4 linked regions of the Caenorhabditis elegans genome follow. The protein of the gene in region 3 interacts with the protein of the main gene of each other region in a pairwise test. Each region holds a gene or a part of one and is shown on either strand. Other genes may lie near its edges.

Evidence for each region.
Region 1: the proteins of hlh-27 (region 3) and ceh-31 interact in a two-hybrid assay, tested with the Caenorhabditis elegans proteins (one large-scale study listed by BioGRID).
Region 2: the proteins of hlh-27 (region 3) and set-1 interact in a two-hybrid assay, tested with the Caenorhabditis elegans proteins (one large-scale study listed by BioGRID).
Region 4: the proteins of hlh-27 (region 3) and odd-2 interact in a two-hybrid assay, tested with the Caenorhabditis elegans proteins (one large-scale study listed by BioGRID).

Annotation. Positions count from the first base shown.
Region 1 is NC_003284.9:3,066,472-3,074,308, forward strand, and holds ceh-31 (Homeobox protein ceh-31), read right to left. Parts: upstream 3,952-7,837; 5' UTR 3,837-3,951; coding exon 3,671-3,836; intron 3,414-3,670; coding exon 3,143-3,413; intron 3,086-3,142; exon of another isoform or gene 2,803-3,085; intron 2,749-2,802; coding exon 2,403-2,748; 3' UTR 2,177-2,402; downstream 1-2,176.
Region 2 is NC_003281.10:6,448,889-6,456,827, forward strand, and holds set-1 (Histone-lysine N-methyltransferase set-1), read right to left. Parts: upstream 3,485-7,939; 5' UTR 3,469-3,484; coding exon 3,305-3,468; intron 3,172-3,304; coding exon 2,933-3,171; intron 2,887-2,932; exon of another isoform or gene 2,879-2,886; coding exon 2,691-2,878; intron 2,680-2,690; exon of another isoform or gene 2,603-2,679; coding exon 2,465-2,602; 3' UTR 1,904-2,464; downstream 1-1,903. Other genes in the region: T26A5.6 (UDENN domain-containing protein), read right to left, coding at 1-265, 322-644, 691-846, 924-1,161, 1,209-1,406, 1,741-1,797; jhdm-1 (JmjC domain-containing histone demethylation protein 1), read left to right, coding at 5,595-5,908, 5,957-6,088, 6,139-6,715, 6,764-7,013, 7,132-7,266, 7,312-7,388, 7,444-7,686. UniProt on the Caenorhabditis elegans protein: Histone methyltransferase that specifically monomethylates 'Lys-20' of histone H4 (H4K20me1). H4K20me1 is enriched on hermaphrodite X chromosomes and during mitosis. Involved in dosage compensation by repression of X-linked gene expression in hermaphrodites.
Region 3 is NC_003280.10:5,537,219-5,544,418, forward strand, and holds hlh-27 (BHLH domain-containing protein), read right to left. Parts: upstream 2,996-7,200; 5' UTR 2,992-2,995; coding exon 2,834-2,991; intron 2,778-2,833; coding exon 2,547-2,777; intron 2,500-2,546; coding exon 2,082-2,499; 3' UTR 1,857-2,081; downstream 1-1,856. Other genes in the region: C17C3.11 (Protein kinase domain-containing protein), read left to right, coding at 617-781, 828-900, 945-1,192; C17C3.24 (uncharacterized protein), read right to left, coding at 3,786-3,869, 4,295-4,357.
Region 4 is NC_003284.9:6,156,890-6,164,225, forward strand, and holds odd-2 (Protein odd-skipped-related 2), read right to left. Parts: upstream 3,639-7,336; 5' UTR 3,597-3,638; coding exon 3,286-3,596; intron 3,210-3,285; coding exon 2,756-3,209; 3' UTR 2,488-2,755; downstream 1-2,487. UniProt on the Caenorhabditis elegans protein: May function as transcription regulator. Required for morphogenesis and function of the digestive tract.

The sequences.
Region 1 (7,837 bases), on a different chromosome or scaffold from region 3:
TGCATTCTTCCGGTTCAGTGACAACTAACAACTAACACGCCTAATTCCATGTAACACGCTCCTCTTCTATTATGTTTCCCCTTTTCGTCGCCCACAAAACCAGGCTCATTTAGTGGAAATCTCGCATTTGAGAAACTCCAGGCCCTCATCCTGATCATCGTTCTCGTCTTTAGACAAATTGGTCGTGTACATACACACACACACACACACACACACACACACACCCACATATACACATTGAAACCCACTTGACATCTAATTCGAGAATAGACAGGGGAGAAAGGAGACGAGTACGGTAATCGTCTACCGCCAATAAATAGGATTTTGAAGGAACGGTGTCATTAAAGCAATTGGACACCACACCGTGAACGGTAGTGGGGTGAATTGTGAATGAACACATCCAAAAACACAGTTTGCAACCATTCCGATGAATTTGGTTCCGTCGATGGGGTCATAAAAATTATAACCTCATAATTAGTATTATTTTAACAACCTCTGGATTAGGTAGAATAAGATAATCTAATGATTGTTTTACAATCACTTGATCTTCTTCCCATATTTTATGCCACAACGGAGACAATCATGATGTTCTGCGCACCGATCCGTGATCTGATGATGTGGCTCGTCAACCACCCCTAATGTATCATTGACTGCTGCTCTCAATAAAAAGATTACAAGGGAATTAGCTCAGGGGGCTGGTGGCAATTGATTCAATTTACACTCAGCACACACACACACACTGACAAATACACGTATACACCTGTCGTCTCCTTTGTCCGATGAGCTCCCGGATGAATAAAAAATGAAGATGATGCTAATTTGGGAGAAATGTGTATGATATGGGGGAAGGCAAAAGTTTGACACCTTTAATCGGGATCATTGAACAGTTGATCACACTTGCATATAGGACAAATTACAAAATTGTCTAGTTCTTGATTTTCAGATTTTCGAGTATTTTACCGTATTTCTTCTATTTTGCATCACGATTCTGTGTTTCGGCTGCTCACCAACTGGCAGAATATGTTTTTTACGTATCTGATGATTTCCAAAGGAACTAGGATAATACCTTTCAAGGTAAAGTAGTGGGATCCTAAATTGATCAGCGATAAAATTTTGAAATTTTTTTTTTTTTTTAATTTTTGAAAATTTTTTTTGGCTTTTTTAATTGAATTCTTGCGGAGTCACACATTTTTTTCTAACTCTGCAATTTTACTGTGATTTCAATCAATCATTCTGTCACTATCACACAAATTTTTCTAGATATAAATTCTCTGAAAAAGAACAATGGCTAGAAGTGATGCACACTTTCAAAACCGCATTTTAATTTCAAAGCGGATTTTTCCTAGGAAGACACCGTATGCTTGGAATAAGTTATAGTGGAAAGACGCCGGGTAAAGTTCTCGGGACAAGTTGCGGTATTTATGAGAGGAAATTGGAAACTAATTAGGACAGAGATGAGTAGTTTCAGATGAATAGCTGATTTTATTGCCATTTCTATAGTTTATTTCTTTTTTAGATGAACTTTTTCCCCGATGAATTCTTCCCAATTTCCATTCAATAACATTACATGAGTTTACGAGTTCATGTCAAATGGTGAATAAGTTGAGTTACATGAGTTTACAGGAAATGTTTGACATTCCAATACGAAGACCAGTTCAATAAATCATTCTCGCAACGACCCCTGAAACGATGACATGATTGAACAATAATTCGTTAACAAGTCGACTCAATTGCAATAATACACGGCTGCGGTCTCCTTCGACAATTGTCATCTTGCTAAACAATTGAACAAGACGAATGAAAAGAAGGTTGAGGTTTTGACAAACTGTACAGGACGCGTCTCTAACCTCCTTTCTCAAATTGGGTGGCATCATTGTTCGAAAAAGGTGTCGCTATAATTGACGAATTATTCGACTCCTAGGCAGACGATCTTCAACTGTAAAGGTGTTACGGAAAATCTACTCAGCTATGAAAGTTGGAAGGCCTCCACTTTGACGAGTAACGTAGAGTGTTTGAGGTGGAGAGGAAGCGGGACGACTTTTTGCTTCCCCCCAAAATTGTCTATTAATGAGAAGGCTAATTGACGCACTTGGTGTGAGGAAATCGCTACCGTAATTTTGTCATTTGGAATGATTCGCAATGTTCTGTTACTTGAGCGAAAACACTCCAGCGTCCGTTGACTGTATTGCATTTTATTATTTTATAATAACCAAGACATTGAAAGTGAAACATTACAGAAGAAATTAAGAGATCGGATTTTGAGAATGAGGGCAAAATTAAAGTGGCTCAGCAGGAAAAATAGAAGAGAAAAACAATAGAAATTGAGAATTTGACATTTTGCGTGATGAAAACCGGATAAATACTCTAAGCGAAAAAAAAACAATCTTCAAGGTGGAAAGGTATTATTCATCCTCATCTGATTCTTTTTTAGAAACAGATGCATTTTTTACAGAATCAGGAGATACTGATGGTGATTCTTTTGGGGAACTGATATCATCTTTTACGTTTTGCGATGCTAGAAATTGCAGTAGAGAATTTTGAGAGTTGCTAGCAGGAATCATTGAAGAAGTTGGGACGACTAATGAATTGAATACAGGGCGATTATTAGAAGCTCCAAACATTGAAGTGTTCTGTGATAAGTAGTTTGCCCAATATGGATTTGTTCTTAGAAGTTGTTGAACGGCGGCCATATTTCCAGCATCGTGAAGAAGATCCATACCAACAGAGGCTTGTCGTTTCCATTTGGTTCTGAAAGTACCGTGAACATTTTTTTTCATTTCAAGCACTTTTTTTCTCAAATTTTTTGCGCCTCCCAGGGTAGCAGCTCCAATCTCAAAAATTGGATAATGACAGTGGAGCCGTTTCCCGTGGGGTGGTTGAAAGGAGTGGGGGAGGGCGCGGAAAAAAGATGACACTACTAAATAAAATTGGTGGGCGCACGCAAAGAAATTGAGGAGGGGTGAGAGCTTTGATTAAGATAAATTTCGATGGGGGTGAAGCTTCTCGCTAATGCACTACAATTAACACAAAGTGGCGTGTTTAGACTCAATTCTCGCCCAACTGCTGGCGCAAAGAGCCACACGTTGTTGTTTTTCGAGAAAAGAAAAAAAGTTTGCCTAATTAAGGAATATAGCCGACCAACCTTCTATTTTGATACCATGTCTTTACTTGAGTATCTGTTAGCCCCATTCGATGAGCCAGCTCCATCCTATCTTGAACAGACAAGTACTTCTGCTTCTCAAAGGTGTTTTCTAGCTCTTGAAGTTGTTTGTCGGTGAAGATAGTTCTCGCCTTCCGAGCCTTTTTTGATCCCACGCATGTCGGACTCTCGTTCACAGATCTTTCGGTATTCGGGCTCCCAATTCTAGGGGATGATGGCGATTCCGAGGAATTAATGGAGGTAGGAGATGGATCTACAATAACAAATAAATAAAGAAAACTGTTTGTATAGGTAAGAGGAGAACAAAGGATCATAATTGGTTGACCTATTACTATTACAGATTACCGTCCATGTGACTACTGGAGCGTTAATCCGTTAAATATCATTTTTCAGGTTAGTTGTACATTCAACATTCTCATGGAAGTCTATGTAGATTAAAGTGTTAGAGATGGTTGAACGAACATACAATAAATGCAATAACTTTAGGAAAATGGTGGCAAAATGGATTACCTGGTTCGTTGGTTGAGTGTGAAGTTGGATCAAGCAGATCAGAAATGCGAAAAGAGCTGTTTAAGTTTATCTTCGCGCCACCGGAAGAACTCTGAGCAGCAAGTTGGTTGGTGGGGTCTAGAAAGAATGCAGGAATCAGAAACTGACGGAGATCCAACATTGACATTGTTATGATAACCTTATCAGATGATGTAACAATACAATAAGTTTTGTAATAGTCAAATTGAATGACTTTTAGACAGTAGTTTAGTGTGAATGAGTGGGTTGGAAGGGTCCTGTTGCCTGCAGTCACTAAACGTCGCAAACTCGTTGATTGGTCTAGTCACGCCCATGCGAAGTGGAAGGCGGGGCGTGTCGAAGAAGGGAATAGAATGGATGACACCACGCGGTTTTGTATTGAGAAGTGTGGTCCGTGCAATCCACCTTTTTGAAGCCAATCAAGTGTGATAATGGGGGACGATGAAGCTGAAAACGAGCAGCTTCGAGGAAAAGACGAAAAGCAAAAGTTTCGGAAATGAGGCATTCAGGTGAGAAGAAAACAATTCAGACAAATCCCGAAACTGCCGAATGCAAACTATGCACACTAGGCTTTTCCTAAAAGCAGAGTAACAACGCAATGCAACATGATCCAAACGAGCAATGATTTTCAGATAAAAAAGCACTGAATAGAATTCAATATAACTAGCTATGCTAGTGTAAAACCGCAGAAAAAATCAAAAATAGCATGCTGCTTCGGCGTGCAAAAACTAGCGACTAAAGCTAAAAATGAGTTTCAGCCCGAATGATGTTTCAGCTTTCTGACTAAAAGATGATGAGGTCTAATAGGTACATTGTGTGTGTTTTAATATTTGATACATCACTGATTTGAAATCAGCACAATGGAAAACACTATCTGAAAAGTTCAGTAACAGTGACTACTTTTGATAGTTCATTTTGCATTTAGATTTTCCTGGCTGTGATCTTAAACTTGCTTCACACGTACAGTTCAGATTAACTGGTAACATCTTTTGGTACTTGTGTAGTATACCTAACACAAAAACATTTTCCAGTACATTTTCCATGCATTTCTTTTGAAACATAATAATTTATTCAAACCATGAAATAGATTTGCATTTTTAGACTTTGAAATACTTTAACCTTAAGCCTATTATCGGCAAAAAGGGGTTTAATATTTTTGGACCAGGTGTACTAAACTGGTACCTAATTTTTTTAATCCCAGATCCGCAAAAATCAGATTCTCAAAACACTAAAAATTATAATAAAATGCTAAGTAAGTAAATTTTTTATTTATTTTGAGCTTTATAGGAACTAAAAAAATGTAAACGTTTTCCGAGCTTTTAATTTCTTGAGCATTTATACTTAATTAGAGTTTAAATTTGTATTTTTCGGTAGCCGAGTTTGCAATAGTCTGGGTTCCTCTTTTATAGACTATTATGAGCAAAAAAACTTTGTTTTACATATTGAAATATTTTAAAAATTATAAACTAATATTTATAGTTGTAAAAAATTTTCAGACCCTTTATGTTTGCTTGAAAATTTGTTCAAAAAGTTTTCAATAAAATATCATGTTGAAACATCGTTATCATTCTGAAAAATATATTTGCAAAGTGAACAATGTCAACAATCGTTATATTTTTCACAACCGATTCATGAACAACGCGAATCTATTGTTTGTTATCAACGTCTAACAACTTACTAATACTTAATTTCCTGCCGTATTACCTCTCTAGTTTTCCGGCTGTTTATGTTTGGCGGCCACCTCCGTAAAACGTTAACTTAAACGTACAAATCTAATTTTATGCTGTCCCATCGTTTTCCCTCTTTCCCACTAACTAATAAGCAATATTTCCGGTCACAAACGGTCGATGAGCAACAATAATATCTGCATTCTCTTTGACGGACAGCTGTAGGCCCATTACCGGGGTTTTATGAGGAAAAGAGGAACCGCTATATGGTGAACTGTTATTAAGGGTACCGAACACAGTCATCTGGAAAATTTACTAATCGAATACACTACGGGTTTTCATTTTTGTGTTGGAATGACTAATGGGTCAAAAAAAATTATCAAAAATGTAAACTACAGAGCTTTTTTTCAATTCTAAAAAAATGTATTGTAACAACAACTCAAGATAAGAGTGAGTTCCAGTAGTAAAATCATCAATTGAACATGTTCCTGAATTTTGACTTCATGTCGGAAGACTTTTAAATTGAAGTGCGCGAAATTGGTAGGAGTCTGCGCTTGTTTGCCGCCCGCTCACCAAAATACAAGGACAACCCATATACCGGGAGGAATTTGTCGCCTCGCCCGGATATTCGACAGACGTGACAAACGACTGCTTTTCAAACTGCCAATTTCGATGTCACACCTGCAGTTTTATAATTCCTTCGGGTGGTCTCTAATCTTGTGCAGCGCCTAATAAGAACATTTTCTTTAACAAGAAATTAAATCGTTTTGAATGGAGTTATACTTGCTCTGTTAACAGGAAATTTTCAGTTCGGCATTATTTCAGTGATATAATAAATCCACAGAAAACAACGTTTAGAAAGGTTGAATATGAGTAGCCTGATCATGATTTCAGGTGCCCGTTTCAATTTCAAAAATATTTCTGTTTTCAACTACTGTTTAATGGTCATCTTTTAATAAGATTTTTCAAAATTTTTTCAATATTTCAAATCTTCGGCAACTCGACAGCTGTTAAAAAAATGAGTAAACTCTGATTTTTACAGAAGTACATGTTTTTGGCAATGAAACACAATTTTCAAAAAAATCTCCCAACATATTACATCTGAATATTTTTAACTGTCACTCTGAAAATTGGAAATTTTATCAATAACCAGCCGATAACCGCGCCTCCGGCGCGGCCAACGACTGGCGGAGTTTAAAATGTATAACAAATAGATGTCCTTTTAATCATTCAAAAATGCCTCATTAAAAAAAGTTGAAACTTCATCGATTAAATCGCATTTTCTCCTTCCATGGTATACGATTCAGAAAATTCAAAGAGACAGTTAGAATGTTCTGATTTTTCTACTAACACATTATCATTATCAGGCTTTCGAAAAAATTCCACAGAGTTACAGTTTTTTTAATAAGTTAATAACTTTCCTTAACTGGAGAAGTCTGAATAATTAACTACTAAGTTCTTTGAATATAGATGTAACGAAACAAATAAAAACTCCTACAGTTATAGGAGGTTGTAGAGCATTTCAGAACTTTTTTGAATTTTCCAGATGATTCTAGAACAGTCTAGAATTTTCTTGAAACTTCCAGAAGGTGCTGAAACAAAAAATTTGATTCCAGAACAAAAATTTGGATTTCCCGCCAAATGTTTTCCTCAGAAAATTTGAATTTCCCGCCAAAATCTTTTTTCTCAGAAAATCTGAATTTCCCGCAAAAATTTTTTTTCCTAGAAAATTTGAATTCCCGCCAAAATTTTTCTCAGAAAATTTGAATTCCCGCCAAAATTTTTCAAAGAAAATTTGAATTACCGCCAAAATTTCTTTTCTCATAAATTTTGAAGTTCCCGCCCATATTTTTAAGGGTCTCACCACGATGGGTCTCGCCAGTTCCAGGTGGTACTTAAGCTAACAAAAAGTTTCTCAGAAAATTTGAATTTCCAGTCAAAAATTTTTTTCTCAGAAAATTTGAATTTCCCGGCAAAATGTTTTTCACTGAAAATTTGAAATTCCCGCCAAAATGTTTTTCACTGAAAATTTGAATTTCCCGCCAAAATTTTTTTCACTGAAAATTTGAAATTCCCGCCAAAAATTTTTTCACTGAAAATTTGAATTTCCCGCCAAAAATTTTTTCACTGAAAATTTGAATTTCCCGCCAAAATTTTTCTCACAGAAAATTCGAATTTCCCGCCAAAATGTTTTTCACTGAAAATTTGAATTTCCAGTCAAAAATTTTTTTCTCAGAAAATTTGAATTTCCCGGCAAAATGTTTTTCACTGAAAATTTGAATTTCCAGTCAAAAATTTTTTTCTCAGAAAATTTGAATTTCCCGGCAAAATTTTTTTCACTGAAATTTGAATTTCCCGCCAAAATTTTTCACTGAAAATTTGAATTTCCCGCCAAAATGTTTTTCACTGAAAATTTGAATTTCCCCCCAAAATTTTTCTCACAGAAAATTTGTTTTTCACTGAAAATTTGAATTTCCAGTCA
Region 2 (7,939 bases), on a different chromosome or scaffold from region 3:
AAGCGATTCCAAAATGAGGTATCGCTGCTTGTAGATCGGAACGTGACGTGGCAACGAGGCCAAGAAGATAGTTTTTCATTTGTAAACGAATCCATTCATCTGATCCATCGAATTCAGCATTTGAGGATTTAACCTGTTCTTCGACTTTTTTGAGAATAAAATCAGCGAATCGAAGATCTGCAGTAGTTAGAGAAACTACTCGTTCCAATGCTGTGTCGTTGACAAATTCAATGTGATTATGGACAAGAGAACCGTCGTCTTCGATCTGAAATTACTCAAGTTTAGTTAGAAACCTGAAAATTGTTAATTTAAAATACAAACCTTCACAATAACATCAAATAAATCCTTTTTCATCGCAAATAAGGCATTCGTAGCTCCAAATATACAACTCTGAGTCTTCGGGACTAAATCCATTGATTGAATTGATAGATATGGATCAAATGATGATCCTTGTGTGAATAAGCTTATAGGAAATCCACACGAATCCTTTTCTTTCAATGGATCATCATGTGAAAGCTGAACACCAACCTCCTCTTCTATCACTATTTCTTCGCTTTTTCCTTCAGTTTTTGAATTTACATTTTTGAAATGACAACTCGTATTGACCCCGATTGTTGCGTAGAACAGACCTTCTTCCAAAAGCTCTGAAATTCAAAATTAAACGATTTTAAAATGTCTGTATATTCTTACTTGGAAACATTGAAACAATAGCCAGCATAGTTTCTCCTAATCGTAATCCAGTTGGTGCAATGAATAAAACTTTCCGCTCTAATAGGAATAATTTAAAAAGCAGTAGAGCTCGGTGACGGAATCGTATAAAAAGCTCTTGAATTGATATTTCTGAAACTGATATCGCTAATTAAAATGTGAACATTTGAAACTATTTTCATGTTTTATTTTAGTAAATTGATTCAATAACGTACCATGATGAGCTAGATTTGAAAAGTATTCTCCAGTAAGATTTTCGTCGAATATATCGCAAAGATTCGTATACATTTGAGCAAGAACATCAACTTTCGAAAAATCTTTTTGTTCAAAATATGCCTGAGTTATTACTTCCAATTTTGCTTTTAATGGACCAAAAAGTGGTATTCTTGAAAGAACGCATACAGCTTTTTGAACACTGGTCCTAGTCACATCTTCCGATTTATTTATTAATTCCTGCAAAGTCAAACAGTTTTTATCTGAAGAGTCATATAAAATCTCACTTTTGCATCGATTTGTCTGTAACACGAGATGCCAAATATCGATTTTCCAGGTTCTTCTCTAGATGGAAGCAAAAAGAATATTGTATCTTTTTGACAATTATGTACACCATCCGGCAACGCCAGTGATGGAAGAAGATGCCATTCATCGGGTAATCCCGATTCGCCCGTGCCATCGAGTTTCGGGTGCGAGTATTCTACCTACAAGATTTATTTTATTGATTTTTTACAAATTGAGTTGATGAACTTGAATTTAAATCTTCACTCCATATAATACAAAACTTAATAATTAAATGTATATGAAAAATACTGCAAAAATAGTAAAAAGTACCAAAAACGTTCTGCTTTTTGTGAAATGTTCGATTGACTGTAACATTTATTTCAAATTAACTGCAAAATATACGCGATTTTGTAGTTTATATTGCCATTTTATTACTTTCCTGCACATTTATGACCTTAATCGTTACGTTTTCGAGTTTATTCTTTTATGTATCATATTTTCCTGATTTTTCTGATAGTTTGCCATTTTTGTTACCTCACATCCTCGCTTGTGATGGAAACTAACGACGACCACATTCAGAATTGGATGCATCTTTCTCTGAACTGTAAGCTCTAATGTTTTCCCGAATTTTACCATCTTCAGATAAATTCTTATGGTTGCTATACCGGAAAACGGAATATACTCGTAAAAAAAGATTAATGTAGCAAAATTTATGGATTTTAATTGTTTTCAAAATGAAAAATTGAGATTTGCACGCTGATAATGTTTTCCGATAGGGATGGAAACGATTTTAGCGTTAACCAGTCATTAAAGTAGGTTTCCAACTCGCACCTCATGTACACCACAAAAATGAATAATTCAGGAAAAAATGGGCGATCAACGAGAAATTTACAGAAGAATTAAAGATATTAAAGGCATTTCGTAGTGGAACAAGTGAGGAGATTTTCAGGTTTCAATGAAAGGAAAGAACAAGGGACTTTTCAAAAGTCAACAGGAAAGGTACAGAATTGGATACTCACGAGATCCAGATTATCATAAATGAGCACGTTATTACGGCTCGTTATTGAGATTTGTTTCAGGTTTGATTCGCTGTGAGAATGAGAAAAGGCGGTTGAAAGAGACGAAGTAATGAGAGGATTGGGCACGAGTGCCGTGGAAAATATGAGAAAATGAAGGGAATTACAGTAGTATACTCGTGAAGGTAAATGAACATTTGAAATGGATTGAGCAGATCGAAGAGATGTTGTGGAGCAACATATTATGTGTTCACAAGCCATGGATTCTTGGCAATCGTCTCTGCTGAACGATCTCCATAATCGTAGAGAAGCTCTTCTCCTTGTGCGATTTGACGCCTGGCGACGAGAATCAGGTGATGCGACCCATCGATTTCCACCACCTGGAATGTTTAGTTTTGGAATTGTTATTTACATTTTTTTAATTTATCAAAGACTTTCTTAATAAATTTCAAATTTTGAAATGCTCACTTTCGTTTTGAGATTCGGCCTTAACACGGAATGATTGATGAGTCGTCCTTTCCATGGAGATTCTTTTGTCGCATCGATACACCATTTTTTATTGTTGTGCTCAAAAAAGTACATGTAGGATCCGATTTCCTCATCATTCGAATATTGTTCTTCTATCACTTTTGCTTCCGAGTACTCCATCATAACACCTAGAATACTTTTTAAAAACAATATTACAACAATTATCTGTGTTATCTACATACCTCTGTATTCGACAACAAAGTCTCCTTTTTCAAAGTTAACTTTCGTTCGAATTCCTCGCCCCTTCACAACATCTTTGTACACTTCAAGAAGTCGTTCATTAGTCCCCTTGAGTACGGTATCGCGAAGAGCATGTTTAGCTTCATCGCTAATTTGCTTGCTCGTCTTCCGATTACTTCGCCGCACTTGGAAGAATTCTGTGATTTTATGGTTTGAGACATCTTTCACCGACACTCCTTTTCTGAAAGAAAAACTATTTGGAAATTGAAGTTTTCAGCTTGGACAATTTCTGTGAATATGTTGTGAATTCAATTAGAAATATTGAAGTTTTTAAACGTTCTATTACAATCCCTCTTGTCACTAATCAATCATACCTGCTCCTTGTGTTTTTCGACGGTGTCATTCTTCCTGAAGATGAAGAGTGTGAAGCCAAAGACGATGGATTTTCGGAGTTCTCAATATCACTAGATGGTGACGCTGCTGCGGCACGATCCTTTCGCATTCTACTCGTTGCCAGCTTCTTCGCGGCAACTTTCATCCTTCGAGTGACACCGCTGAAAAAATAATAAATTTTGTAGGGTGAGGAGAATAGTAAAAATAGAGAAATTTATAAAGAAGCAAAAGAGGTGTCATAGAAATAATAGAAATATTCGCCCACAATTTATTTTTTTTGTTTTGAAATGGTTGGGTAAAAATATTATAATGTGTTGTTTCAAAAACCCAGATATTCAATATGATTTCATCGGTCCTGAATACTGTAATTGAAAATGGAAAAGCCATCTTGGATGTACCTGAAAAAGTAGTTGGGAAGAGGGTAACAGAGGAAATTGAAGCGGGCAGAGAGATGCGTAAAGCAGATTGAATGGGTTTTCGGAGGAATATTTTTTTTAGAAAGTGAAGGTTTCTATTGTGAAAAGGGTGGGCTTTCACCGATTCCGTTGAATTTCCAAATATCAAAAGACCGAGTAGAACATCATCATTAAGATATTTATCCACATTTCGTGAATAACCTCATTAGAAATCAAATTCAGTGGTTTTTGACGAGAGCTGAGCACAAAGAACAATGTCGTGCACACGCGACTAAATTCAAATGGTGTGCAGTCATATGGTTTTGGCGGGAAGTGCCGTGGAGCGTTATTGCACTCACGGTAGATGTCGGTGGTTGGTGTAAAAAATGGTGGATTGAAATTATGGAATTGAACTTTAAAATGTATATTTCCGTAATAATAGATACACTTATTGGGCTCGTAAAATTAAACAGAAAAGATACTCAAAGATTAAAATTTAGATAAATTTTGACGCCATGCGCATGACTAATGTTTCTATTTATATTTTAAATATTATACCAACTGGAATTTTAAATTTAGATGTCCTATTGATCTATTAATTTTGACTGAATTGAAAAAAAACAACTATGAGAAACAGAGCAACAAATCGATGGCAACATCGTGCACAAGAGTGTCATCGCATAAAAAATGCAGTTTGTCATTCTTCAATGCGACTACATGAGAGCCCGACGAAGAAGATATGCTGAAAAAAAGAACATCGAATCGGTGTCGAGAATCTGAATGACATAAGAAGATGCAGCCGCTGGTTTATTGATGCTGGCAGCTAATCGATTATGAATGGGTAATTAGAAAACGATCGGTATATTCTATTCCATTCCCTTCCTATTTATGCTGCGGTCGATAAAACGCTAAATCGATAAAAAGTTTAGTCGTTGTAAGATTGAGCAGCAAACAAAGAATGGTGCCGTCCACCCGTTCGTTTTCGACTGTTTTGTCAATTCAGCGGTCTACGTCACAACGCCACATAATTGTAGGCCAGAAAGGATGTCAGGGGAAATCGATACGAATTATCAGGAATAAGGAAGAAATATTGACCTTGAAAACCCAGAATTGTATTTTAATGGAATAAATAGTAAAAAAGAGGAAGAAATAGTGAAATCAGGGAGTGAAAAGAAAGGAGGCTGGTTATACGATCAAACAACAAACAGGAATGCACTATGGGGTGAGGGTGAGGAGAGTCGCAGAGAGAGAAACGGCTTGCGTCGAACACGCCAGTGGTCCAGCTTGCGCCTTTTCCGTTCCTTGCCCATAGTTTCTATTTCGATTTTTGCACGCTTTTTGCTTTAATGTTTTGAATGTGTATTTCTCTCTTATTGCTTTTAAGAAGCATTTAAAAGCAAAAATAATCAAATTTTAACTTTTTTCATCGTAGTGCGGAAAATTATGTTCAAAATTTGTCAATTTATTTAAAGATAATTCCTTACTCGGTCTTATTAACGCTTCAATCAAAACAATTAGAAACAGTTTTCAAAAATAAGATGAAAAAAGTCCAAAAAATTAAATAAATAAGAACCGACAAATCGATCGATTTTTTAAAATCACTGTGTTCCGTTTGAGACCCTTCGAAAATTCCATGTACCTTTAATTCAAGCAGTTCACGAAACTTTTTTTGGGTACTTAATTTACATTTTCTTTTATTAAAAGCCATTAGAATCTCGAAAGTTAATCTAATTAATCGCTTGAAAATGTCCTGAGAAAAACTCCGTTCTCTGCGTTCAAGTCTTTAATTGATTTACCGTAGTTACGCCAACTTTATGACAGTTTTGTATCATAACTAACCATTTTCCTATGATTCTAATAAAATATATTATTTTAGATGCCGCCGAAACGGAAATCAAATGGAAAAACGCCAGCGAACGGTAAAAAGGGCGCAAAGAAGGCTAGGAAAGAGTCAAGTTCAGAGCACGAACATAGTGCTTCAGAAGGTGAAGAAACTACTGGATTCGATAAGTCGTCACTTCAACGATGTGTGAATTTTGATTTCGAAGCTCTGATGAATGATCCGTCTTTCCAACATCCCGAATTTGTACATACAATGGACCCAGAAGCTTTAAATTTGGAGTTCTACGACAAAAATGGACTTGACAACCCGATACATTTCCGATGTGATCCAAAAAGAATAGGAATGACGTGAGTATTGATTTTTCCAATTAATTGTAAAAATAAATATTTTTACAGACTTCCCTCACCAGATTTCTCAGTGGATGATGTCCTCGAACTGGTAGGCGGAAATCGAATGATAGAAGTTGTTCAAGTCCAGAATCAAGGAAGTGTGAAAATGTCGTTACAGGAATTTATAAACTTCTACAAGTGAGTAATTACAAATTAGTATTAAACACCAATCAAACTTCATTTTCCAGAACGCCACAAGAAAAACGAGAAGTACTGTACAATGTTCTATCTCTAGAATTTTCCCAAACTCCCTTAGAAGATCTCGTAAAATCTCCAGAACTTGTTCGTCAAATCGACTGGGTTGGAAACCAGTGGCCAGATGCTCTGCGCCAGAGGTGGATCTCATTCAACGGAAGAGACAAAAAATTCTACAATCCGCATCATACTTTTCCAAAAGTTCAAAACTACTGCCTGATGAGCGTAGCGAACTGTTATACAGATTTTCACATTGATTTTAGTGGAACATCTGTGTGGTATCATGTACTGAAAGGTCGTAAAGTCTTTTGGTTGATTCCACCAACCGAAACCAACTTTTTTATTTATCAAGAATTTATTAAAACTGTCAACGATAATGCGTTCTTTGGAAAGTCGGTCGAAAAGTGCCACGTGGCTATCTTGGAGCCAGGAGACACGATGCTAATTCCAAGTGGATGGATTCATGCCGTATATACTCCAGATGATAGTCTCGTTTTTGGAGGCAATTTTCTTCACTCACAATCATGCAAAACACAATTAAGAGTTTATCAAGTTGAAAATAAGTTGAATGTGAGTTTTTACAGAAGACTTGTAAATAACAAATTTGAAACATTTCAGATCACTAGAAAATTTCGCTTACCGTACAATGAAGAACTTATTTTCTACGTTATAGCTGATTATGTAAAACAATGGACAGGAAGAGAATATGTGAGACCACTTCGAATCGAAGATGCAAAATATGACTATGTTGGAGACAAATGGAAAACCGCTGGTGGCCATCATAAGAAAATCGAATACTCAGATTACGAAACTGGAGTTGAATTGACAAACGATATGATTAAAGGAGACGAGGAATCCACAAAAGATGGTAGAGTATTTTTTATTTTTTAATGTCAAAAAAGAATGAATGACTAATTTAAAATGGTTTCTTTGATCTTTTTAATATTTTTCTCTCTTTTATATGATTTTAAAATCGAAATTTTCAGAAGTTAAAGTGATTGCAATGCACGCGGAGAATTCACTATTTGGTTATCCTATGGTCAGCAAAGCAACGTTTTCAGCTGACACGGGTCTTGAAGAAGAAGCTGACGAAGATGAAGTCAAGTATCAAGAAACTAAAGGTAAGGAGATTTAAACACGACAGTAATAAAATTGATGAATTTCAGAAGAAATGGATGCTCGACGCGATGCTGAAATCGATGAACTAGCTAATTCAAATTCATTAATTTTCTACAAGAACCGTGTAAGAATTTATCGAATTCAATGAAGTTTCCTCTCGAAATTTACATGTTTTTCAGACGCACGATTTTGTTCGAAATAAATGCGTGCCGGACCACAAACTTCCAATTGGACACGAGCCGCCAATCTACTTTAACGATGATGAGATTTCTAGGATATCCCCTCGACTTTTGGATGAACTTGAAACTCTTGGCACTTATATTCGTCGAAAAGCACGTGTCGAAGTGGCTGAAGGAATATGCCAGCCAGCGTCTCTCATTAACACATTCCAAACTGTTTTGAAAAAAAGACGTTCTGAATTGGTAAGTCAAAAAGACCGATAAACATTGTTGAAAGTAGTAGATAGTGAGAAGTGAAAGACTGTTGAAACGCCTGCGTCTCTATCGCCCTCTTCATCTCGTTCTGCATGCGTCTCTATGGCCTCAAACTGTCGTATTATTTTGCAGGCTATTGGCATAGTGAGAAAAACTTATCTGATCTAGGTTTTTTTAGGTATAATTGAAAAATTGTTTGATGAGCTGTTATTCTTTTCTGCCCTGAACAAACGTTTATTTC
Region 3 (7,200 bases):
AAAATGTTCTGTAGAAAGTTGAATTAACTTAAAGTTCAAGGAACCGAGTGGGCGTGGCCAAACGAGACTCCAAATTCCGCTGGGCAGTTTGTAGTGGGAGTTCAGTTTTAAACTATTTTTTCGAGCTTTTTAATTTGAAATTTTGATTTTTTTGGAAATTGCAATCATTTTAACAAAAATTAGTTTCATAATTTCCCAAAAAAAAAAGATAAATAAAAAACACCGAATAAACTTTGATTTTCGCTGCGAGACCCGTAGATGGACAAACAATTATTTGGCCATGTTATGGGCGTGAGTTTCCCCTTTTTATAGGAAATTTTGGTTGAGAATGTAAAGGGGATATTAGAATTGTGTTAATTTATATTATATATATATATATATATATCAGAATAAAAACAATTTGAAATAATTTTGAATCAACAGTCCGGATTTTTGAAAATCTCCTTTTCTAGTTTATGAAGTTAATTTTATTGCAGAAAAAAACAAGAAAAACTTTTTTTGAACGTGGACTTCAAAGATGTGATAACGTTGTGTTTAAAAAAGTTCGTCAACGACAAGATCAATATTTTCCGAAAATCCATAAATAATTTATTTTCAAATCTATTCTCGTCACGAGATGACGGAGGCTCCCGTTATTCAGCTAAGTATTGACTATAGAGTTCGTCGTTACAAGGTTTTCAAGAAACTTGAAGATGGTGAATTCGGAGCAGTGTATGCTGTGCGAGATGATGCTGGAGAGGAGCATGTTTTGAAGGCTCAGTTGAATACCAAGGAGATATATGTGAGTTAATACTGTCGAACCATTAAGCAGAAAATGTTATTTTTAGTCGCTGAGAATTGAGCTTTGTGTGATGACAAAGGTATCTGAGAAGTCGCCCAGCCACATGCCTACTCTCATTGGTATGTAGTACACTTTTGTAGGTAACCGTAACCCCATCTTTCAGACAAGGGACGCCATGACAACTTTAACTATATTGTCATGAAGCTTCTTGGGAAATCCCTGCAAGATGCTATAAAGACTGGGCCTGATGGTCATTTGACATTTGGGCTCTGCGATTGGGGCATCGTTTCAATGCTTGGAAGCATTGGAAGATTTGCATTGGAGTGGGTTCTTGGACAGAGATGTGAACCCTGGCAACTTCTATCTCGGAAGAGCAAGCCAAGGCGAGCTTCGCAACATTTTTGTTCTTAGATTCGGATGTTGCCGAAAGTATGTAGATCGCGAAAATTTGATGCTCGAGCCAAGAAAAACTGTGCCATTTCGTGGAAGCCCTCGATATGCACCGCTTGCATCACATAATACGGCGGAACATGGACTGAAGGACGATTTGGAAAGCTGGCTAGTTTAATCAATTTAAGAACTAGTCATTTATGTGATATATTCTGTAAAGATGCCAGAAGGCCAGATTGGGTTATCACTTAGAATTGAAAATAAGAATAATAGTTTTTATTTGAGAAAATGTGTTTTTCTAGGTTCTACATGCTCGTCGATTTCACCAATGCAGCTCTTCCCTGGAAAAATGTAAATGAGATTGGCGAGATTGGTGCGATGAAGAAGAATTCCCGCTTCCAACCGATCATGGGCCAATTCCTTGCTGGCTGCCCAGATGAATTTCGCTTGATTATGAAGTGAGTCTCTACCAAAGCTGATTTATTCGTAATTTTCCATTTCCAGCTATATCGACAGTCTTTCGTTCTTCAAGGAGCCCGATTATGAGATGATCTATACAACACTGCAAAAAGTGATGCTAGACAAGGACATTGAAGAGTTTCCGTATGACTGGGAGATGGAATTTGGTGTGGACTAATGGAACTTTGATTATACATACTTGTCTTGCTTGTATTCTGGCTAACAAATTTTACCGAATAAACATTCATTTTCAAACAGAATAATTTAGACAAGACTATCACGTGAGTAGTAAAAAATCTTCAAAAATAGATTGCGACGCGATGGGATGAAAAAGTTCGGGAATATTGGCCATAGAAAGATAAAAAAATGAATCAAAAACGCAATATAGACAATGAAGATTTTCGAAAAATTGCTCAGAAACTAATTGTAAGATCTGGAAGAACTTGATAGACTAGTTACTAATATCGACGGTTTCTTCATTTTCTTCCTCGTCACTAGTTTCTGGTGTTAAGATTTGAAGTGATGGAAGAATGAATCGGAGGGGAGCAGAAAATATTGATGGAACGGTGTTGTAGTTTGACAAGACATTGAACTGAGTAGTTGGGATCATTGGAATACATGGAAATGTGAGCAATGGAGAAGTAGATGTTGGGGATTCTTGAACTTCTTGAAACGTCAATCTTGGGAAGAGATCCTTCACTTCCATTCGTGTTTTTGGCTTTTCATTCTCTTTGTTCTCACAAGTAGCAGTTGATTTTCCAGCTAAAAGAGGAAGTATTTGGGGAATTGTTTCTGGATACAGAAGATCGGAATTGTGTTTAATGTAATCAATGATGATTTCTAGAATTGTGATCCGTTCAAGTTTTAATCTGAAAATAATTTTTTGAATTTTTATTAGCCATAATGAAACTCTTACCGTTGCTCGTAACTTCCCATTTGTTTGTTCAAAATGAAGAATTTCAATTCAGCATAACAGTCATCTTGTTTCTTTCTTCGAATCTTTTCACGTTCAGTCTTCACTTTTCTTCTTTCGGATTCAGTATCAAACTTCCGTCTTGTAGATTCGGAGAGGTCATTCGATGAGAAATTAGATTCCAGATTAACTCCAGTCACAAGTTTCACAATTCGGAAGAGAACTACTTCTTGTCTAAAAAATGAATTAGTTTAATAACTATTTTAAGCTAACAGAGTATTTAAACTTACGATATATGTTCTTCTTCTGATTTTTGAACAATCGTCTTGCATTCGTTAATCAACTCGTTTGTAATATTTCTTCTTTTCCGTTCAGATCCTGATTTTGGAGTTTGATTGTATGGGACGGAACGATAATCGCTCATTGAAGATGGGATAACTTTTGGCATCTGAAATTTGATAAGTTTTAATCTTTTTAAAATCAAGAAGAAATCTAGAATTTATAAAATTTCAAGATGAGCCGTTAAATAAAAGGAATAATTGTGACAAAACAGAAAAATGAGACCAAGAAAGCAGCACAAATTGATTTAGTTTAGTGAGATAACTCGTGCTGTTTTTCTAGAAGTATACAGTTCACTGAATGCTTTAAAAGTAATTGATCAAAATCAGTACACTTTCCTGATGTTACAATTATCAAAAAGTATACTAAACCAGCAGACCAGTGATCCACCAAGAAAGTAAATGAACAATGAATAAATGGTTACCTTTTATAGTTCCATTATTGTTCAGAGGGTGGAGCTTTGTATCAAGCGTTTGGAGCCATGGGAATTATTCTGAAATCTCTATTTTTACAGTCCCCATCATGGGTTCCCATGGTTCATCAGTGAGGTTCTCATGAGAACGAGGCTGGACATCTCCAGTTTTGTCTTGGGACCATGCGAAACTAGACGACTGGATATCGATTGGGTACTGCCTGGGAAATTCCGGCTGAGACTGTGAATTAGGATATTGGCACTGTGTTAATTTATTCTATAAGTTTATAGTAGTATCAACTGTACCGGATGAACAACATTTTAAACAGAAATATCTCGAAAAGAAATAAAATAGGAGAAAACAACTGAAATTATTTTGCCAGTAATTCTAAACAAGATTGATTTGCAACAGTTTCTTCGAACATAATTTTTATATAAGAAGATATCTATTTTGAATTGACAGTGGTCAACAGAATAAATATGGAGAACAATCATATTGGAAGAGCTGGAATGCAAAAGTGAGAGGAAATTGATTTGAGCTCTTCGATTATGGACGCAAAAATGGCATGGCGTGACTGAAACGACATAAGTTTGAAAGTTGATAGGACGATTTATAATATAAATTGTGTTCCCTGTTTGCTCCAATGATATGAATTTCGGCAACAGTATCACTACAGTATCACGACAGTAGCCTTATAATAACCCGCCAATAAATTCATTTGATCTTCGCTCATGATCTCAGAAACGATTTTTAGTTTTATTACAATTATCATACAGTATCATGATAACAACGGAGATTGCCCGTGGAATAGTTCAGCTACTGGAATATTGGCTACAGTAATCCTATGGCAGTAGCTATGACCTTAAATATACTCACATCTGTCTCCCAAATTACAATTTTTTATTTTTTATTCTTTAATATATTAAGCCATAAATTTCATCGTACAACGACGGAAGACAATTTTTGGAAACTTGCCGAGTCAAAATTATCATGACTCACCTTGGAGATCGTGGAGGAAGCCAGATCATTTGTGGCAATCTCTTCCTGAAGGCGGGTTTCCATAATTCTCACAGATGTCTTGAAACGGTCCTAGGCATTCTAGAAATGTAATGTGATGACGAATAAATGTATATTTCTAACCTTCCGGATTATCTCCAAAAGAGCCTTTGCTCGGTTATATGTGGCACGGTCGACGCCATTGGCGGTCTGAATATAAAAGATGAGTTGAATTTCAGAACGAGATTGAAATACTCACCTTTTTCATTTCACTTCTTGCCTCTTTTTGAAGCTTTCTGCGGTCCATTTTGTAGCAGATGTGAAGGTAAGATCTGAAACTATGAGCAATAAATTAATAGCGAAGTCAAGTCAAGTGATTGAATGTAATTGGTGAGGAAATTAGTATTCAATTTCAATCAAAATCACTGAAACTGATATTTCCGTTTTCAGTGTTCCAAAGTGTACCAATTGCCAACTAAAAGGTTATGTGAACAAACTTTCAAATCAATAAGCCTCCTCAGCTTCAACAAAAAGGGACAAATTTTATCAAAAACTATTAATAACGAAAAATCCCTGACTCATGGTGCATGGCTCTTTCTCAATTCTGATTTTTTGTTGTCTCCCCCCGTTGCAACGATGATAATTTCTGTCTTATTTCTGTATACAGGGTTGCCTTTGGCCTGAATGTTTTTGTCCTTTGTTTTAGGGAAATGAGTTCTGAAACTTTTTTTGTTGGTAATACTTCCAATACTTTGTTAGGTTCAAAAAGTGGTTCTAAAAATTTTGTTTTACGCCATCCATTATTTTTAAAATAACCTGAACTCGTTTTGGTTACTCTGAAGTAACTTAAAAATCGCAATTGTTAATAGAGATAACAAGATCTATAAAAATCGCAGCTTTAGTCTGATTGATCCGACCACAAGGGGCTTCCACGAAAATTGATAAACCATTTCGACAAAAAAATGAGTCATGTTTTGACTGTTACTGACCAACAATTATCGCTACTATTTCTCTTAAAAACAATTGAAAATCATTTAAAAAAAAACAGTTCATTTGTCTCTTTCTGTTTTGCATTTACGTTTTCCAACATTAAATTGACGACATCTGTAATACTCATAAAAATCGTCAATGCACACATTTTTCTCTCAGTTTTTCCTTTTAGCTACAGGACTTTTCGTTTTTTTTTCATTCACTAATTGAACAAGAGAATCCCTCTTGAAGGGATGACTTTGATAATCAATTCGTACACTCAGACAGGTGCGAGTCACGGCTAACCGACTCAAAATCACTGCTAATTAGCTTTTTGACCAGGGATAGAGTCAACCTGGCTAGCTCTGGTTTTTTGCTAATTAGCAATGGTTTGCTAATTAGCCATGGTTTTAAGCTAATTAGTTCTGGTTTTTTGGCGTTTTGCTAATTAGCAGTGATTTTGAGTCGGTTAGCCGTGACTCGCACCTGTCTGAGCATGTTTGGTTTAAAAAAATATTTAAATTTGTTTAGAAAATGTTTTCAATATTTTTTTCAGCAGAATTTTACAGATTTACAATCTTCTTTCATACTCAGATGCAACAAATCTCGAGTTTGACGTCAGGTAAAACTTTCAATTTCTTCTCTGACACTATATGTAAGTTAGTTTTCCATTTATTTCTTGAAGTTTTTCTATTTAAAAAAACTAGCAAACTTTTGTTTTTCAACTTCCGTCGTGTTTGAGCCATTTGTTAAATAATTAATAACAAATTTTTCACCCAATTTTTCCTCTAATAATAATATTGTTTTACTTTGACAAACGGTGGTATTCTTTTGAGTATATCAATAATGCATATCCTGATAAAGTATATAATAAATTACTCGAAAAATGTTTTACTAATTAATAAAAAAAAACACAAAAGACGCTACTGCTTGAGACTCGAACCAGCAACCTAAGGAGAGCTCTGCCTCGTACATTCCATTTATTCTCCCCTGCACCACAAAAGACACACTTTCGTAGTCTGTATCTCTACAACAGACACTCTCTTGCTGTTACTCGCTTGCCTCGAAAGCGGTCGGTACACACACTTGCATGAGACGGGACGTCTCGCAGTGTTAGTCGGTTTTAACCCAGTTACTCAAGGTACGCTGGAGTTCTGACCTTTCGAAAGAGAGTGTCAAACAACTTTAACTTTTGGAACCGCTCTGCTGGGGTTATCCGGTAGAGCAAAATAAACGAACTAATTGTCCTATGAATGTTTGTTAGAAAACATTGTCACTTACATAGGCTCACTAAAGGATTTCCGTTTAAGAATTATTAAAAAGGAGGCATAATTAAAATTCATACAACGTTAAGTAGACTGCATTTGTAAACTATGCGATAGTTCCTATATTTTGGAGATGTATGTATAAATTCTGAAACTAACGTATTTATTTATTGGTACTTCTTTGTTCAAACGGCACGAGTTTCTGGTAGATAATATATCCAGAAACTTTTCGTCTTGAAATTTTTTTTGGAAGCTTTTATAAGTCTGGTAACTCTAAAGAGACCAATCGGAAATTTGTCGTGCGTTTAAAACTATTAGTGGATCTACGCTTTTTTTTAACTGGATGGAAGTTTTAAAATGTAATTACTTACTTTTGACTGCAACTGAAACGCCTCATACTCATCAACCAAGTCAATTATTTTTGCTCTACCGGATAACCCCAGTAGAGCAGTTCCAAAAATTAAAGTTGTTTGACACTCTCTTTCGAAAGGTCAGAACTCCAGCGTACCTTGAGTAACTGGGTTAAAACCGACTAACACTGCGAGACACTGCGTCTTATGAAATTTTGTGTTCAGACATTTTTCGAGGCAAGCGATGAACGGCGAGTGTGAGCCAGCAAGATGACCCAGACATCAAAGGAAAAGTGATTGGCAGTGTAGTGGGTTGAGGATGACA
Region 4 (7,336 bases), on a different chromosome or scaffold from region 3:
TCCTGCACAAGATCATCTTCGTTTTGTAAGATGGGAAATATTTTACTATTAACCGTTGCAATATTGCTGATTACTTATAAAAAAACGACAAAACTGAAAACCTTTATTTCAACTGAGTTTTTCATTTCACAAAATACATCACAATTTGTTGTCATTTATGTATTTCTGAAGAAGATTTCATTAGGTAGTTTTCTGAAATTTTGAATTATATTAAAGAAGTTTTGAAAAAGCTCACTACAAAATTCGTTTTTATGTTGTCACATTCTAAGTCTCTATAATCAGCAACCCCACAATTGATACTCCTCCAATTATGAAAAAATATGTTCAATTTGAGTATTTTTCTTGTTAGGATTAAAGTGAAAAATTCTTCCAATAATAAATCAGAAAGTATAAGTAAACTTAAGTAAACTTAATTTTCCAGAACATTTCAAACAGTGAGAACTAGAAAACTAGTCTCTCATTTGAAATCAAATTTCCAATTGTAAGTTTATGTTTTTAAAAGGCTGTAACATTAAAACGTACATTTTTATCAATAACATTTTTGAAATAATTAATTAAACACAAACACATTTTTTTTGTTTCAGTTTATGCTTGGTTTCCAAAATATTCCCCTAAAAAACAACGACCATAGTATGTCATCAAATCAGTTTCCCACTAGCCTTCTATGATATCAGAATGACCTGGCACCCCCATTGCATAACGGTCCCATTCAGTGTACAGACTAAGTAGTGATTAATAAGGAGTTGGTAGGTTATGATAACCGACACAGAATCAGAAACCCGTGTGTACGGCTGAATTGGTCGACATAAGCGGGTTTAGCCAGCGTTGCTCGTTTATCACTACCGTAACAAAATTACTCTGAACTGTAATCGATTGGCAACATATGAATGATTTTATCAATGAGAGGATTCAGTTTAAAATTGGTATCTCACGTGATCAATGAAATATGAAACGATTATTTTACAATCAAAATGTTGAAAAGTAACTATTCTTTCAGTTTAGAATATGGCATTGAAGTTTATAGAGAATCACGTAGAATTTTGTGTTCAAGCTTTCAAGTATTCCAATGATAAATAACATTTTGCTGTTCGGTTTACGAAATTATTTTAAATCATCACATCATTTTTTTAATAGACCATATTTTTCAACAACTCTCAGAACTACCAAATGTCAGTAGAAACAGTCTGAAAATCATTCTGAATACAGTCAATTTTCTCTTCAAATTCTTGCTATTACAGAAACATATTTTGTATAGGAATCTTTAAAATATACCTTTCATAGCTGCCGATGAGCACTTTGAACAAGAAAATTCATTCAAAAAATGACTAATTTTTTAATACGGTTTTCATAAACCTGTTTTTTTTTGAACATATCAACAAATGATTAGATAATTGAAAAAAATAATGTTTTCGTCGGTTGTAAGTTTCTTAACAACACACAAGTTTAAAACATATTTGTGCCAGTTTGTCTCTAATATGACTCGAAAATATGAAACTTTTCTAAAAAAACACTAAAATGTATAAAACCGTGTGATTTAACGTAATTAGAATTAGGAATAAATAATTAATCAATAGTGTCAGAATTGAGCTTAAAATTCAGTAAATGTGAAAATTGAGCGATTTTTTGTTTCTAGTCCATTCCGTATTATGAAAAACAAAACATACACCACAAAAACATTTTTTAATGCAATTTAACTTTAAAAAACATTTTCATGATTTTCAAAAAATGGGATTTTTGAAAACATTTCTGAAAATCTCAAAAAGCCCATAGCAGATTGCTAGTCGATTTTTCAACTTTCTTCTCCCTGTTGCTCTTTGTTTTGAAGATCAGAGTAGAATAGTAGTTACAGAAATGCTTTAGTCTTTTCAATCACATATCAATACTAGATTTCCGGCGAAAAATTCGAAAATGACCCTCAAACCAAGTGGTAGTCTGATCGCAATGAAAACTTCTGAATAAGACAAAAAAAACTGAATTTAAAAAAATCAGAACTTGTTTATTTCTAAGCATGGCAAAACAAATTTATCTTCTAAAAAATACAAATAAAAGCATTTCTCACACGACAAACCAAAGACATACTAATGTTGCGAAACATTACTACAACATGAAACTATTCAAATATATTTAATTGTCTGAAAATTTACTATGCTAAATCTTTAATGCCCAACAAAAAAACTTAGTTAAAATATTTTCAAGTTTGGTTTTCAAACCAATTTAGGAAATATGTGAGATAATTAGGGTTTTCAGAGATTTGGAATGAAATCTGTGTGCACAGTTTCATGAATTAATAGTCAATGCTGAAACTTCAATGAGCTAGCTCAAAAATTTGCACATTGTGAGCCCTTTGCTGTGGAGCTCATGCTGCCTTCTATCCTCTTCAAATCATTTCCGGTTTGAAAACAGACACCCATCTGCAATAAACGGTGCCGACCGTGGATATTGCACATATGATCCCTTGCTGCCCTCTTGTAAACTCTATACACCGTATTGCAACGTCATTCAGAAAATGTTTTATTTTTGGTACAATATTGTATCTGACACAATCACAAATCTAAAACTTTGACCCTATCAAGTATGAAGAGAGAAGGTAAATCGAAAAAAATATAGACATATGAAAAAAAAGAGTAGCATATATTGGAAAAAACAGATGATCCTCAAGTAATACTGGACAACATGAAAATGTTTAAGCAGGAATGACAAAATTGACCGTTTTCATAAGAAAGCCTAGATGCCAAATACTAATTCTCAGCAGAATTTAGCGATCAGGTGAGATTTGTGGGGATGTCATAGACGTCGAATTAAAGCTATCAGTGAGATTTTGAAGAATTAATGTTACTCGTGGATCCAGTTCAGGGAGTGGTGTTTCACTTTTGATTGGTACAACTGGAGCTCCAATACTGTGTCGGTTTGGATCATGTGTTGCACGGTGGACGAGGAGAGTTCTTGATTGGCAGAATCCTTTCCCACAGATTTCGCATTTGAATGGCCTGTCCTTTTGGTGGATATACTTGTGGTCTCTAAGATGATCCTGACGACGGAATGCTTTTCCACAAACATCACACGAGTATGGTCGCTCATCAGTATGTGTCCTTTCATGGATCAGGAGGTTGTAAGACTTGGTGAAGTGACGATCACAATATTTGCAGATGAATTCCTTCTTTGGTCGGGCTGCTCGGCCAGTAGTCCTTCCACGTCCAGGGATCATGAACCTAAAACTAAATAGTTGAGATGATACAGTATAAAATTTCTTATCATCATATCGTACATTATGATACAAGAGCTTACCATGGTTGATCGTAAGGAACAAATGGTCGAACGGCTGCAGTAGTGAGCGTCGGGGACATTTTTGGAGACACACTTTCTTCTTTGATCTTCTGTTCAGATTCAATTGAATCAGCCATGTGAGTGAAGTCAAATTTTGCTTTCTTGAGATCGGTGATCATTGGAATTTCTGGATTCATAGCAAGCAGCGCCATTTTCCTCTGCTGCAGAAAATTTTGGAGTTGGAGGTGTTGTTGTGCAAGCATCATTCGAAAAACTTGTTCATTTGATTGAGGAAAAATTGATGTTGGAACTTGTCGTTGCCACGGAAGCATTTTTGTGTGTGCGGGAAGGGCTAGTGTTGATTCCAGCTGAAAAGAAAACAATTATTTCAAATTGATTTGAGGTCGCAAAAATAGCGGAACGAGCAAATACGATTTGAAAAGAGGGAAAAATGATGATACCGTTGGGCAATGTAAGAGAGCAGAATTCAGAAGAAGGAGCGATAGTTATTGTTTGCTCCTTTTCAAGAGAAGTTGTCACTTTGTTAACGAGTATTATCGTCTTATGGGGTAATCTACTACAAACAAATCTAAAAGGAGGAGAGGACTGAACAGGCGGAGCACAATGTTGCGGTGGTGGTAGGGATGACTGTCAAGAAAGAAGGAGGATCACTTACAACTCAGTGGGATACTTTGACTCTATGGTGCCGCTTTTTTGGGAGGAGGGCGACTCACATTTTACACCACGCGTCATCTATGAATTTTTATAGACTCGCTAACACTTCTGAATTTTGGAAACGGCGATAACGAATGATTGGAAATGGAAGAGGGGCGAAATTGAAAGAAATTCTTTGTGCTGGTCGGTAAGTAGAAAGGTTTTGATGGCTTGTTGATGCTCGGGCGCATGATATTATCAAGTACACGGCGGCTATAAAAACGGTTGGCTTCCGTGCTTCGGTCCTACATCAAAGGTAGCCGACGTGCACGGAGGTGTTAGGGGAGTGTTTACCAAACAGTAGAGGTGTATGTGACTAGAAGCTATCTATCTCATTTGCAAGTTATGAAATTGAAGAAAATGAGAACCACATTTTCCATATTGACTCATAGAGAAAACCAGCAGAAAAGAGTCGAAAAGTGTAGAAAAAGTAGAAAAAAGTAGGGGAAAAATGAGAAAAAGGGAAAGCCTTTTCGGGTGAAGACTCGCGGTGATATGCAAACATTAGACATTTTCAGAAGGAAGAAAGTTAGCAGAAAAAAAGAAAAAAATCACAGTTAAATATGGGCCTCTTCTATTGACAATATGATGATACTGTGACTTTGACTCTCCCCGTTTTTCTCACTCTATTTCGGCGATGTGGAAAGAAGAATGGTGCCAAAAAAGAAACTTTGGTATCAATGGGGAAAAACGAAAGCGGACAGGGAGCAGAATATCATTCTCAACCTATTGTTATGATAAAATCGTATCGCGAGCCACCTATTTTCCCGCTTTTAAACATCTCAAAAATTTTTTGCTTCATGTATAATAGTTTAAAAACAAGAAATGATACAAATTATGATGCATGCTGGCCACATAAAAAACAGTAGAACCCTCTTCCGTACGGTTGCAAAACACAATTGAAAAATGTGGGTAAAACGGCGGGAAATTTGTCATTGAATCATATTAGCGGTTCAGACTAATACTAATACAAAATTTTATATGCACTTTTGTCGAAAATTTGGGCACTACAAACTGTATAAAAGTTTGATCTTAATTTTTCAGCTTGAAAATGATTTTTTTAACAGATTCTCCAATATGGAATTTCCAAAAGTGGTACTTTTCAATTTAGTTTTCACAGAATGTGCTCGAATGAGCACTGTCTAACTTAGCTAGCTAGCTACTGTGTAACGATAAAACTGTTGAGTTAAGACAGTTTTTGTTAGAGATCTTCAACAACTCACACAAATAGTTGAAAAATTTGCAGAACCAAGTTTTCAGAACATACAATATCGCCTATACTTGGTAGAATGGAGGAACTGAGTGGCTTCCCAGAAGCAGACGGAGGCGGCCACCACCTCGTGTTCAGCTCGTCTTCTCCTCCGACACGCCCACTGTCTTTGCTGCTGCTCTCTCGGCGGGCGCTGGTTGACTGACTACGGTAGGCCCTGTGCTGCCGTGCACCGCCTACTTTAGAAGTAGAAGTAGATCTTTGAAGATTTCATGACACCCTTTTCAAAGAAGTTTTAGACCTAACTATACTTTTAAAAAACCGTGAAACTGTCTGGAGCGATAAGAAACATAAAAAGCGCCTTTAGGTCTGGATAAAGTTTTTCTAGACACACGGGAACCGAATCTATAGAGAAATTCAAAATTTTTGATTAGGTAACTGTAGTACACCAAAAACATAAGTGACATTTTATAACTTGACTGATGACAACTTAGGACATCTTGCACTATTTAGATAACATTTGCACGACAGTTATACACCTTTCTAGCTACTCGTTAATGATGAGTTATGGAAGTAAACTGTCCTATTATAGTGAACAGAAATTTTGAAAATACACATTAAAATTTGACATAAAAGAGAATGACTTGGAATATGGAGTACCGCGCGGCAGAAAAACCGCCCACTTTTTTTTGAGCAAACCATTTTTCTTGGCTATTCTCCGTTTGAATTTGGTTTCAAAGACGACGACAACTTTTTATGAAACCTATCATGTTGGGGTGGTACGTGTTCCTTTTATGACTCTCACTACATAAACGTTCCCTTTTGGTGCAACATGCCGACTAATGATAATTGACTATTATCTTTGAAAACACTAGAGGTGAGTAGATGGGATGATAGTTTAATGATAAAAAAGACTTGGAAAAAATGAATCAAAATTCTATTTACCTGAAGATTATCCACCGTAGTGATGCCAAAGTCAATCACAAAATGAAATAAGGTGTGAGTCAATGATGATTTCCGGAAAAGGTGTGCGAATCGTGCAGAACAAGGTTCTTTCTGTGTGAAGAAGAAAAAAGGGTAATGATAACAAAAAGCGTAGGCTTCTATTTAGTAGGTAGTTTTAGGGGTACAATTAATCCGCTTACTGCAAGTTAGGGAGGAGCGATAATGCTGACAAGATGCAGTTATCATGAAGTTTTTGACGCCAATGTCTCGGTTTTGAAACAAAAAGGACATATCGGCTTATAGGTATGCGAAACTTTGTCCCAAGCAGTGGAATGATGGGAGGAATGTGGAAATTTTTGTAATTTCCAAGTAAATTTTTAAAAATTCTATTATGTAATTTCCCATGTCGGTATCCTCATAACCTCTGTGTTGAAGACTCCAACCGGTGTGAATTGTGCATTTCCATTAATCCCCTCCTTGAAGAAATGATACTCCCGGCTCTCATCCCAAACAGAACCCCCACTGTTTCAGACAAATAAACATCTTCCCTTTGCGCAACACCCCCGGGTACCGACTCCCAGAGTATTAGAATAGGAGGAGAACTTTTTGTGACGATACAAAAGAATAAATTGAAGGTATGTTGAAAAAGAAACGGACAGAAAATTCATTAGTGAGCGACGAGGGAAACCAGCATTGTTTTGTGTTACTGTAGATTATGATATCAGTTAGATTATGACACAGAAAAATTGTCATTTTTTCTTTTGTTATGGCAGAAGAACAGAAGACGAGGTAGATTTTTTGAAACCCTTCCAACAGGGTGCCACCTTCCGGCGGCACTGGTTACTTACCTAAAGAAGCTTGTCATACAAAAAATGCATTGATCAAGCCTGATAGGTTATTGTACCTTCTTTTCTTATTGCCTTGTTTGATCGCTGAAGAAGAGGTATGGAACGATATTTGGACCTCACTGATGAATAGCGAGGAAACAAAGCGGGGAGGCTGGATGAAAGGTGTCAGCAAGCATGCCGGCAGCTTACAGGGTTTAATTGTTAAATTCTGATGCCGACAACACATCAGCTGAGGGAAAGGGTCCTGTTTGCACATATCATTGCCTGCAATTGTGACTCATTCTATAAAGGGTTTTCTTATATTGGATGGATTAGAAAGCAATAATAATCGGAAGGCCCGATGACACCTTAGTGA